Linked DNA regions of Canis lupus familiaris. The protein of the gene in region 1 purifies or fractionates together with the protein of each later gene. This does not show direct contact. Links are inferred from orthologs where the notes say so. Each region holds a gene or a part of one and is shown in the gene's direction. Other genes may lie near its edges. The genes, in order: VARS1, EEF1B2 and EEF1G.

The links.
Region 2: the proteins of VARS1 (region 1) and EEF1B2 fractionate together in Homo sapiens (co-fractionation; 3 studies listed by BioGRID, with this or other methods). This does not show direct contact. The link is inferred for Canis lupus familiaris from reciprocal best matches to the Homo sapiens genes VARS1 and EEF1B2.
Region 3: the proteins of VARS1 (region 1) and EEF1G purify together in Homo sapiens (affinity purification with mass spectrometry; 6 studies listed by BioGRID and IntAct, counting the BioPlex papers as one, with this or other methods). This does not show direct contact. The link is inferred for Canis lupus familiaris from reciprocal best matches to the Homo sapiens genes VARS1 and EEF1G.

What each region holds. Positions count from the first base shown.
Region 1 is NC_049233.1:1,392,457-1,396,202, reverse strand, and holds the end of VARS1 (valine--tRNA ligase), read left to right. Parts: coding exon 1-120; intron 121-398; coding exon 399-503; intron 504-584; coding exon 585-653; intron 654-740; coding exon 741-819; intron 820-943; coding exon 944-1,071; intron 1,072-1,448; coding exon 1,449-1,604; intron 1,605-1,746; coding exon 1,747-1,953; intron 1,954-2,025; coding exon 2,026-2,137; intron 2,138-2,269; coding exon 2,270-2,595; intron 2,596-3,554; coding exon 3,555-3,623; downstream 3,624-3,746. UniProt on the Homo sapiens protein: Catalyzes the attachment of valine to tRNA(Val).
Region 2 is NC_049258.1:14,570,702-14,574,447, forward strand, and holds the start of EEF1B2 (elongation factor 1-beta), read left to right. Parts: upstream 1-1,391; 5' UTR 1,392-1,519; intron 1,520-1,754; 5' UTR 1,755-1,823; coding exon 1,824-1,903; intron 1,904-2,281; coding exon 2,282-2,404; intron 2,405-3,039; coding exon 3,040-3,166; intron 3,167-3,282; exon of another isoform or gene 3,283-3,360; intron 3,361-3,439; coding exon 3,440-3,506; intron 3,507-3,651; exon of another isoform or gene 3,652-3,746. UniProt on the Homo sapiens protein: Catalytic subunit of the guanine nucleotide exchange factor (GEF) (eEF1B subcomplex) of the eukaryotic elongation factor 1 complex (eEF1).
Region 3 is NC_049239.1:54,591,074-54,594,288, forward strand, and holds the end of EEF1G (elongation factor 1-gamma), read left to right. Parts: intron 1-1,743; coding exon 1,744-1,916; intron 1,917-2,018; coding exon 2,019-2,143; intron 2,144-2,380; coding exon 2,381-2,539; 3' UTR 2,540-2,627; downstream 2,628-3,215. UniProt on the Homo sapiens protein: Probably plays a role in anchoring the complex to other cellular components.

The sequences.
Region 1 (3,746 bases):
GATCTGAGTGTGTTCTACCCGGGGACGCTGCTGGAGACGGGCCATGACATCCTTTTCTTCTGGGTGGCCAGGATGGTCATGCTTGGCCTGAAGCTCACCGGCAAGCTGCCCTTCAGAGAGGTGTGAAGACTGCCGAACCCGCCCCACAGTCCCTCCCATCCCGTGCCACAGCTGCAGCCGTGGGTGGGCCTCAGCCAGGGCCTCCTCACAGTGATTCTGTGCACTGGCTTTGCAGAGGAGGGAGTGCCTCTGATGCCCACAAAGGTGCTGAGTGCGCTGGTAGGGACCCCGAAGCCCCGAGGTTCAGAATGGGGCCGACTAGATGCAGGCCCTGGGCAGGCACTGGGTCTGGGTGAGGGCATACATTGTCACGGGCCCTCCCTGCTCTTCCTCGCCAGGTCTACCTTCATGCCATCGTGCGAGATGCCCACGGCCGAAAGATGAGCAAGTCTTTAGGCAATGTTATCGACCCCCTGGACGTCATCCATGGAGTCTCCCTGCAGGTGGGGCCGCGCTCTGGGCCAGGCCTGGCAGGGCTATGGGGCTGTGGCCACGACTCCTGACCACTCCCACCTCCTCCTCAGGGCCTCCATGACCAGTTACTGAACAGCAACCTGGACCCCAGTGAGGTGGAGAAGGCTAAAGATGGCCAGGTACTGAGGCTGGGCTCTGGGACTAGAGGGTGGGCCGAGGAGGGTGCGGCCACCTCACGACGCCCCCCCGTTGACTCCTTCCTACAGAAGGCAGACTTTCCGGCAGGCATTCCCGAGTGTGGCACCGACGCCCTCCGGTTTGGACTCTGTGCCTACACGTCCCAGGGTATGGCCTCCAAAACCTCTCATCCAAGTCCTTCCTCCTTCCCTGAGGCCCACCCTTGTCCTTCTACACCCTGGGCACGTGCCAGGAGGGAGATGGGGAGGACTCACCCTTCACTCCCACCCAGGTCGTGACATTAACCTGGATGTGAACCGGATATTGGGGTACCGCCACTTCTGCAACAAGCTCTGGAACGCCACCAAGTTTGCCCTCCGGGGCCTGGGGAAGGGTTTTGTGCCCTCAGCCATCTCTGAGGTGAGGGCCTGGTAGGCGGCGAGGTGGGCAGCACCCGCCCAGGCAGCCACAAGCATGGCCAGTGCTGTGTCAGGATCCTGACCACTGAGTCAGGTGGCCCAGGCCCTGCTTTGGAGGATCCTTCATGTAACTGAAGGGACAGATGGACACAGGTACAGACAGTTACAGTGTAAGCCTGGGGCATTGGGGTCCTCCCTCAAGGAGATGGGGGGGTGCTGTCCTTTCTTTTTCATGTACTTGGCACATGGTGGCTTCAGACCTGGCAGGTTCCTGGGATGTAGAGCTGCCCATGGTTCCTGCCCACCCCCGCCATGGGCTTTTGCCTCCCTGCCCCAGGCGTATGGTACCTCCCAGCTGATAGGCTCTTTCTTCCCAAGCCTGGAGGCCACGAGAGCCTGGTGGACCGCTGGATCCGCAGCCGGCTGACTGAGGCGGTGAGGCTTAGCAACCAAGGCTTCCAGGCCTACGATTTCCCAGCTGTCACCACTGCCCAGTACAGCTTCTGGCTCTATGAGCTCTGTGATGTCTACCTGGTGAGAAGCAGGGTGGGTGTGGGGCGGCACAGCCCTGAGCCTCACTTTGCCAGTGGTTGGCACTGAGACCAGAGCCAGCCTCACAGGCACAGTTGGGGCTGGAGGTAGACGTCCCTGAGGCCTATGTTTCCCGGTCCCCTAGGAGTGCCTGAAGCCCGTGCTGAATGGGATGGACCACGTGGTAGCCGAGTGTGCTCGCCAGACCCTCTACACCTGCCTGGATGTTGGCCTGCGGCTGCTGTCACCCTTCATGCCCTTTGTGACAGAGGAGCTATTCCAGAGGCTGCCCCGGCGGACACTACAAGCACCCCCTAGTCTCTGTGTTACCCCCTATCCGGAGCCCTCAGAGGTAAGGGGTATGGCTGGGAGGGGGCCTCTGGCCTGCCCCCCCAGCCTCCCTCACCACTCCTCCACCCTGCAGTGCTCCTGGAAGGACCCTGAGGCGGAAGCTGCCATGGAACTGGCCCTAAGCATCACACGAGCCGTGCGCTCCCTGCGTGCGGACTACAACCTGACCCGGATCAGGCCTGACTGTGAGCCTCGTATCCTCATGCCTGCCTTGTGCCCCTGTCCCCTCAGCCCACTCTGGGACCATGGTCCTGTGCGGTTGCCTCATGTCCTGTCTCCTTGGGGCCAGATCTCTCACCTTCCTCCCTTCCCCACAGGTTTCCTGGAAGTGGCTGATGAGGCCACAGGCATTCTGGCATCGGCAGTGTCGGCCTACGTGCAGGCGCTGGCCAGCGCGGGTGTGGTGGCTGTCCTGGCCCTGGGGGCTCCTGCACCACAGGGCTGTGCTGTGGCCCTGGCATCTGACCGCTGCTCCGTCCACCTGCAGCTGCAGGGCCTGGTGGACCCGGCCCGGGAACTGGGCAAGCTGCAGGCCAAGCGCAGCGAGGCACAGCGGCAGGCACAGCGTCTACGGGAGCGCCGCGCTGCCTCAGGCTACCCTGTCAAGGTGCCCCTTGAAGTCCAGGAGGCCGACAGAGCCAAAGTATGTGGTGTGGGCGGGCACCCCTTCTCCATTTCCCACACCATGTGCTCCCTCCATCGTCAGACCCCGTCCCGTGGCTGCACTCCACCCAGCCCTGGGCAGTGACCAGGGAGCAGATAGCCCGGACCTCCTGAACCGGTGGGGTTCCCTGAACCGGAGGGGCTCCCTCCTCTTACACAAGGAACAGCTAGGAGCCAGGGCACAGCCCAGGGTCACACCCGCAACGTGAGGACGGAGGCAGACCTAGAATAGGTATCCTGCCTCCCCGCCAGAGCCCTTGCTCCCCATCCCACATGCCAGGGGCTGGTCTGGGGCCCAGTACAATCGGGAAGCCCAGCGGGCTCACCTGGGATCTCCAGGGAGGAGCAGTGGAGTGAACCACATGGACACAGAGAGAAACGAATGGAGGCTGAGTGGTGAAGCCGTAGTGGCTGAGCAGAGCTCTGTCTATCCATTCGCCTGGAAGCCCGCTCAGGGCAGTGGGTATGGCCATTGCCATTTTACAGACGAAAACCCAGTGCCTGCGTAGGAGCCTGCGTCCCTAACTCCTGTGTCCTACTGTCCACCTGGGGGTGGGGGCTACTGGCTGGGGCACAAGGCCTCTGAGGCCCCTTTGTGTTTGGGGACTGAACACTGGCAGAAGGCCAGACCTGAGAGGCCAATGATGCTGGGAGGGAGGGCAGGTGCTGATGGGGGAGGCTGATGAGAATGAGTGGGGGATGGGCTGGCCATGCTCTCACAGTCCCCAGAATACTCACTGTATATGGCCCTCACCCATCTTTCCAACCTGGACCCCCCTGCCATCGTGGGCATTGTGGGTCACTTGTGTGACTCTGGGCTGTGCCCCCATTCCTTTTTTTTTTTTTTTCTTTTTGTGTGCCCCCATTCCTGACATTTGTCTCCTCTCTTGGGCCTGGGTCCTCATCACCCACCACCCCCTCTCCTTGTCCAACCGGCAGCTCCAACAGATAGAAGCAGAGCTCAAGAAGGTGGATGAAGCCATTGCGCTATTCCAGAAGATGCTGTGATACACCCGACTCCTCATGACCCCCAGTGTCCACCATGGGGTGGCAGCAATAAAATATTTTGCCACAAAACCCATGTCTTGTCTTGTGTGATTGGGGCTGGGTGCCTGCACCCCCAAGGGCCGC
Region 2 (3,746 bases), on another chromosome or scaffold:
CGCCTTACTAAATTCTGTCGATGATATAAAGGTAAATCTGAGTTTGCTGAATCAGAGTAATGACAAACTGAAAATCAACAATCAACATTTCATACAACAATGTAAACACTTTATTATTTTGTCTCCAATACAGGAAAAAGGTATTGCCCACTTTAGTTAGGAAATCAACCAGAATTAGGTTGTCTCTTGAAAATCCAGCATCAAACGGAAGAGTGCATTACCCCAATAGATGACAGTTTTCCAAAACTTTCCTTCATCAGCCCATCTTAAATTTCCTAACCTACTCCCCAGGCATATCATCCATTTTATTCTTCTTCGTGGACTCATTTCTAATTTATAACAGACGTAAAATAACTGTCTGCTATAGGAGTTATATCTCAAATCTCTGCCAGAAATTTTCCTGAAAAAGCGCAGGCCTCTGACAGCCTTATAACACCCTGCACCATGCCATTGGGCGGGGTGGGGGGGGTGGGGGTGGGGGAGAGAACGTTCCCTAACGAAACAACTTGGATGTTTATTCATCAGAAACAGTTCACATTTTCAATGCTCTCCAATCATTCTGGAGCACAGCCGGGCCTAATCCACGCTCTTACGGTACATGTTAGAGCCCCACACGGCTGAACAACGTAGCTAGGTCATCTGCAGTGCGACCTTGGGCAAAGGTTTTAAATACCATTTTCCTCAGTTTAACCCACCAGGGAAAGGAATAAAAAAATAACTCAATGGACAAAAATGAAAACACAACAACAACAAAAATCCCCAGACGCATGGACGGCTGCTAAGGCAACGCCGGCCAACGTCTGGATTATGTGTGTTAACTTGGGAAACCGCTGCCTTGAGGCCTAAGTCACTTGACAGAGTCCTCTCCCGGGAACGTCCTGCGTCTCCCTTGCAGAAGGAAGGTCACTCCCACGCCTGCCTCCGCGCCCGCGGTCCCAGGGCCCCCAGGCTCCCCACCTGCCTTCCGCCCCAAGAGACCGGAGACCGCGGCCAACGGCGCTCACCTGCCGGCCCCGGGGGTCCCGGAGGAGGCGGGCTGGGACGCGGCGCCCAGTCAAGGGCAAGAGGAGGAGGAGTCGCCTGGCCTACAAGAAACCGTCTCGTCAAGAAGTCCACTCCTGTGGCAAGGGCCACCTCAGCCTTCTCCCGCAACCACGACCTCACCTTCTCGGCGGAGCCGCCAAAGCCGCTCTGCAGAACCGCCGCACCTTCCCAGCCCCCTCAGAGGCCCGATTGCTTATTCAACATGGCGTCCTCGGCAAACCTCGCCCGCCGGCCCTGGAGAACGGGAAGCCAGGAGGGACCAGAAACCTCAGATTCGAGAATTTCCCGCTTAGCGCGAGTTCGGCAATTTCCGGCAGCCGGACCGGGGGGCGGGGCGGAGGCGGGAGGCGGGAGGCGGGAGAGACGGTTGGGAACCGCAGTTCCGCCGGAAGTGGTCGGGCGCCTGAGGCCGAGCGTCTTCGGTCACCTCCGGCGCTTCGAGGGGCGGTTCCTGTAGTGTGCCGGAGCCGCGGAGGTACTAGTTTAAGGAATACTCTTTTTATTAGCTTATTTCTAAACACAAAGAAAGGCCGCTGGATAATTTGTGCGCCGTTCAATGCGGAGCTTCCGAGTTTTACGTGGAGGAATGAGGCTGTTAGAGGACGTTGACCCTTAACCTTTGACCCCGTGCGGCAGAAGGAAACGCCTCCGTCTCTATATAAGGCGTTTTCCGGCCTTTTGCGGCCCTTTTTTCCTCTCCCCCCTCTTAGCGCTGGGCGCCGGGTGCCTCCCCTCTTCTCTTCCTTCGCTGCCGCCCGGTTCTTGGAGCCGCCGACGCTATGGGTTTCGGAGACCTGAAAAGCCCCGCCGGCCTCCAGGTGCTCAACGACTACCTAGCGGACAAGAGCTACATCGAGGGGTGAGGACGGGCCCGGGCTGGAGCCGGGCTGGGCCGGCCACGTGGCGCGGCCTCGGGCGCAGCTGGGGGCCGAGGGCTTCCAAGGGCGCCTTCTTTGCGTTGACTGGATTCAGCCACCTTTTCCGCGTCTTCGCTCGGCCCGTGGACGTAAGCCCGTAGGTCTCCGTCAGAGATGCGAGCTCTGAGGTCCACGACGTGGCAGGGATTCCTCGGGAGAGGGCGGAAAACCAGACACATGGCCCCCGATCTTGAGTTTAGCGTCGAGAATAAATCACCTTAGGTTGCCCAGTGGCAAATGGGCCAGCTCCCAGCGCTCAGCTTGGTGGCCGTGGCGCTTGGCCCCTCCCCTCAGGGCGTGTGTGACTTGCCTCCCCGCAGGTACGTGCCGTCACAAGCGGATGTGGCAGTGTTTGAAGCAGTCTCCGGCCCCCCGCCTGCCGACTTGTATCATGCCCTGCGTTGGTACAATCACATCAAGTCTTACGAGAAGGAAAAGGCCAGGTAAAGTGACCTGTGTGTTTACCTGAAGGACAGGAGGCTTCCTAAGCTTCAGGTCAGGATCTTTCACGTGACAAAATTGGACCCAGGCTACGTGAGTTTTGTTGGGGTGATGTAAGCTGAACTAGCTCTGTGACTTGAGAAGGCCGAGAGACTGAAGTCCTGCATTTTTTCACAGAACACGTAGAACCTGGACCACAGCAATTCAACTTTTCCCCACACTGCCCTGACACTGTGCCCGGACCCTGACCTGGGGGGCCCGCGTCCGGGGTGAGAGGGGTGGCTCATTGATTCAGTCCTTGGCCATTCTTCTGAAACTGCCAACAAGGGTGGAAGTTTGGGGAAGTGGACTCCAGTTCACTAAGAATGGAACTGAGCATACTTAATCTCAAACAGAAATACTCATACTGAAAGAGTAAATCATAGTGAGTATCGAACGTAATGTCTCACATGCTGCTAATGTTTGTTGGGTGAGGAGTTAAACACACAACAGTATTTACCTGGGAGTGTTTACGGGCAAATTCTTAGTACCTAAGGGCTCTTTGGATAGTGATGGAAACAAGTTCTCGTGTACTGTCTGAGAGTTTACCAGCGTAGTGGTGGTTGAACTTATAAGTTTTGTTTTTTTTTTCCCCAAGCCTTCCAGGAGTGAAGAAAGCTTTGGGCAAGTATGGCCCTGCTAATGTGGAAGACACCACAGGAAGTGGAGCTACAGATAGTAAAGACGATGATGATATTGATCTCTTCGGATCTGATGACGAGGAGGTATGGCATAAGTTGGTGTGTAGATCGATGAGCTTAATCATAGGCTCTGTGGTGAAATTGCCTGGATTTGAATTCTGGTTTCACCCACTTCATGACTTGACTTATAAAAATTCTCACTGGTTATATGATGAATAAAATCAAATCACCATCTTTCGGCTGAGCTCCTGATGGATTTGCTTTTTCTGATAAAACTGGTCTTTGTTGTGATGGATTCACTAGCTTAAAGCTGAGGAACAACTGTCTTTGTGAAACATACTCTATTTTTCTTTATAGGAAAGTGAAGAAGCGAAGAGGCTAAGAGAGGAACGCCTTGCACAGTATGAGTCAAAGAAAGCCAAAAGTAGGTCATTTTTTTAAAATTTGTGCTGCTTTAATTTCATTTCATAATTGAGTAATCTTTTGAAGCTTGATTCCCAAAGTAATTGCCTCCACGTCATTGACTAGTTCAGTATTTAAAAATCTGTATACGTAGTTTTTCATAAAACTTCCACAGCTACTGGTCTGCAGCTGTTCTTACAGTAGCAGTTGTGGCATTCCTCTGTGGGAAAGAAACTGTTATGCAATTAAACACCTCTTTCTT
Region 3 (3,215 bases), on another chromosome or scaffold:
AGGGTTTGTTAGCATCATTTACACTAATGAGTAATTGGTCCAATTAAACTTTTAGTGAGGGCTTTTTTTTTTTTTATTATTTTTTTTTTATTTATGATAGGCACACAGTGAGAGAGAGAGAGAGGCAGAGACACAGGCAGAGGGAGAAGCGGGCTCCATGCACTGGGAGCCTGACGTGGGATTTGATCCCGGGTCTCCAGGATCATGCCCTGGGCCAAAGGCAGGCGCTAAACCACTGCACCACCCAGGGATCCCGAGGGCTTTTATTTATTCATGAGAGACAGAGAGAGAGAGGCAGAAACACAGGCAGAGGAAGAAGCAGACTCTCCCAAGTGGAGTCCAATGTAGAACTCAATCGAGGGACTCCAGGATCACGCCCTGAGCTGAAGGCAGACGCTCAAGCACTGAGCCACCCAGGCATCCCAATTTTTTTTTCCCCAAAGATTTTATTTATTTATTCATGAGAGACACATAGAGAGGCAGAGACATAGGCAGAGGGAGAAGCAGGCTCTCTGTGGGGAGCCTGATGTGGGACTTGATCCTGGGACTCTGGTATTGCAACCTGAGCCAAAGGCAAAGGCTCAACCACTGAGCCATCCAGGCATCCTTAGGGTTTTCTTAAATAGGTTTATGGCACATTTTACAGTAGAGGATTATGTAGCCATTAAAACATTTGTAAGGCGTGCCTGGGTGGCTCAGTTGGTCAAGTGTCTGCCTTCTCAGGTTGTGATCTTGGGGTTCTGGGATCCAGCCCCACATCGGGGTTCCTGCTCAGTGGAGAGTCTGCTTCTCCTCCTCTGACTTTCACCCCTGCTTATGCTTTAACTTGGGTGCTTGGGTGCTCGTGATCTCTCTCAAATGAATAAAAAAAAAAAAAAAATCCCTGATAGGGGGACAGTGTTAAATGAACAAATTGTATAAGGCACAAAATTATATACATCATCTTTGGGAAGTCACCAGCGGGAAGTACATAAACATTAATTCTGTTTACTGGCATTGCAGATGATTTTCTTCAGTCAGCATGTGGTTTTATAACTGGAAAGAAAAAAAGAGAACCCCTACCATGAGGGGAGGAACTCTATAGCTGAGCCTTCTCAGTGTAGTGTGCCAGGTTGCCTCAAAGATCAGCTGAACCTAAGGGCTTTTCAGCATCTGGGCTTGTTCCTGGGCACAGTGACTCAAGGCCACCCGTATAAAGTCTGGGGCGGAGGTTCTTTGAGAACATTTGCTGCTTCCATTGTCATATTGTAGTGTGTGTAACCCGAAGAGGCCTGTGGTAGGGGAAGATACTTGGGTGAATCAGGGACTGTGACTCAGTGGGAAAGGGCCCTGGAGGGAGCCAGGGGGCTAGGGGCTAGCCAGGAAGGATGAGCGCTCATTCTGGGTTTCCACCAGGGGGCAGCAGTTTGCTGTGTTTTTCCTGGGTCAGGTCTCCCTCAGGCCCTGGGGGTGTGTGTGTGTGTGTGTGTGTGTGTGTGTGTGTGTGTGTGGTGTCCCACTGTCTTCGAGCTTAGCCTACTTAAGACTGCAGAGAGAGAGCAGAGGAGTGGCCTAGGCCCTTCTTCCTACGCCCTTAGCTTTCTTCTGTTACAAGCTTGTACCCATCTGCCAGTCCAGTGAGCTCTTCCTTTAAACCAGTACATTTTAAGTGAAATTCGTCCTTAGCTTCTCTTAGCCTGGCGACTCTTTGTTGCCTCAGTAGGACCTTCTTCTCATCGATCTTGCCTTTTTTTCTCCATTCAGTACCTTTGTGTTGGACGAATTTAAGCGCAAGTACTCCAATGAGGACACTCTCACTGTGGCACTGCCGTATTTCTGGGAGCACTTCGATAAGGATGGCTGGTCCCTGTGGTACGCTGAGTACCGCTTCCCTGAGGAGCTCACTCAGACCTTTATGAGTTGTAACCTCATCACTGGTGAGAAGAGGGTGGGCTGAGGGAGGGGGAGGCCAAGGCAGTGGGTGCTGTGATTCTGAAGGCTGTACCCACTGTGATTCTGTTCTCCCTTGGCCCTGTCAGGAATGTTCCAACGGTTGGACAAGCTGAGGAAGAATGCCTTTGCCAGTGTCATCCTCTTTGGAACCAACAACAGCAGCTCCATTTCTGGAGTCTGGGTCTTCCGAGGCCAGGAGCTTGCCTTTCCGGTGAGGAAAGGAGTAGGGGAGGAGTTGCTCTCTTTAGGGTGGGGCAAGGAGATGGGAAGCACACTCTCATTCTTGTGCTTATGGGCATTCAGGAGAGTTCAAGGAATGTGTACAGGAGGAACTGTCACAGTCACAGGCGTTTTAGGATCTGATGACATGTGGCTGAGCTGGAAGTAACAGGTGTGGGGCAGGATCTGATTGGACCACACGCTTCTTAACCTGGCTTTTTCTCCCCAGCTGAGTCCAGATTGGCAGGTGGACTACGAGTCCTATACGTGGCGGAAACTGGATCCTGGCAGCGAGGAGACCCAGACGCTGGTTCGAGAGTACTTTTCCTGGGAGGGGGCCTTCCAGCATGTGGGCAAAACCTTCAATCAGGGCAAGATCTTCAAGTAAACATCTCTTGTCATCATCGCCTAGCTGCCTGTACCTGCCCTTCAGGGAGATGGGGGTCATTAAAGGAAACTGAACATTGAACCCTTAACCTGTCCCGCCTCCTTTTTAAGTGATGGCTTCTTCAAAGGGGAGTGTTGAAGCAGGGTGTTTTCTAGGTTTGCATACCTCCCTTTGCAGGAAAAAGAAGTCTTCAGAAGAGCAGAAACAGAGGCCTCATTTTCGACTTTATATGCTCTGCCTGTACGGTGATGGCTGTCTTCTAGCCTAGCTGAGAAAGACTGGGTGCAGTTCGGGTGGTTGGTGACACAGAGCTTTGTAACTACCTGAGTCTGCAGGACCAGGTTGCTAAAGTATGGTAGCACACTGTGTGTGGAGGAACTTCATGGTGTTTCTCAGATTGCCCTGGGAGGTAGGTAGCATCAAGGGTCTGGGTAGAAAGTTCAGATAAGCAGGAGTACCAGGCACAGTACCAGCCTACTACCTAGAACGGGCACTGGCCTGTGGGCCCTAACTTGGCTGCGGATCATTTCTGGGGGATTTCTGCTTTCTCACAAGGAAGTGGGGTTCAGAGATTTAAGGGACTTAACTTGTGGTGACAGGATTTTGAACCCAGTGGGAACTCACTGGAGCCCAGAATCTAAATGGGCCTTGCTGTTTCCTGGAATGTAGAGGAGTC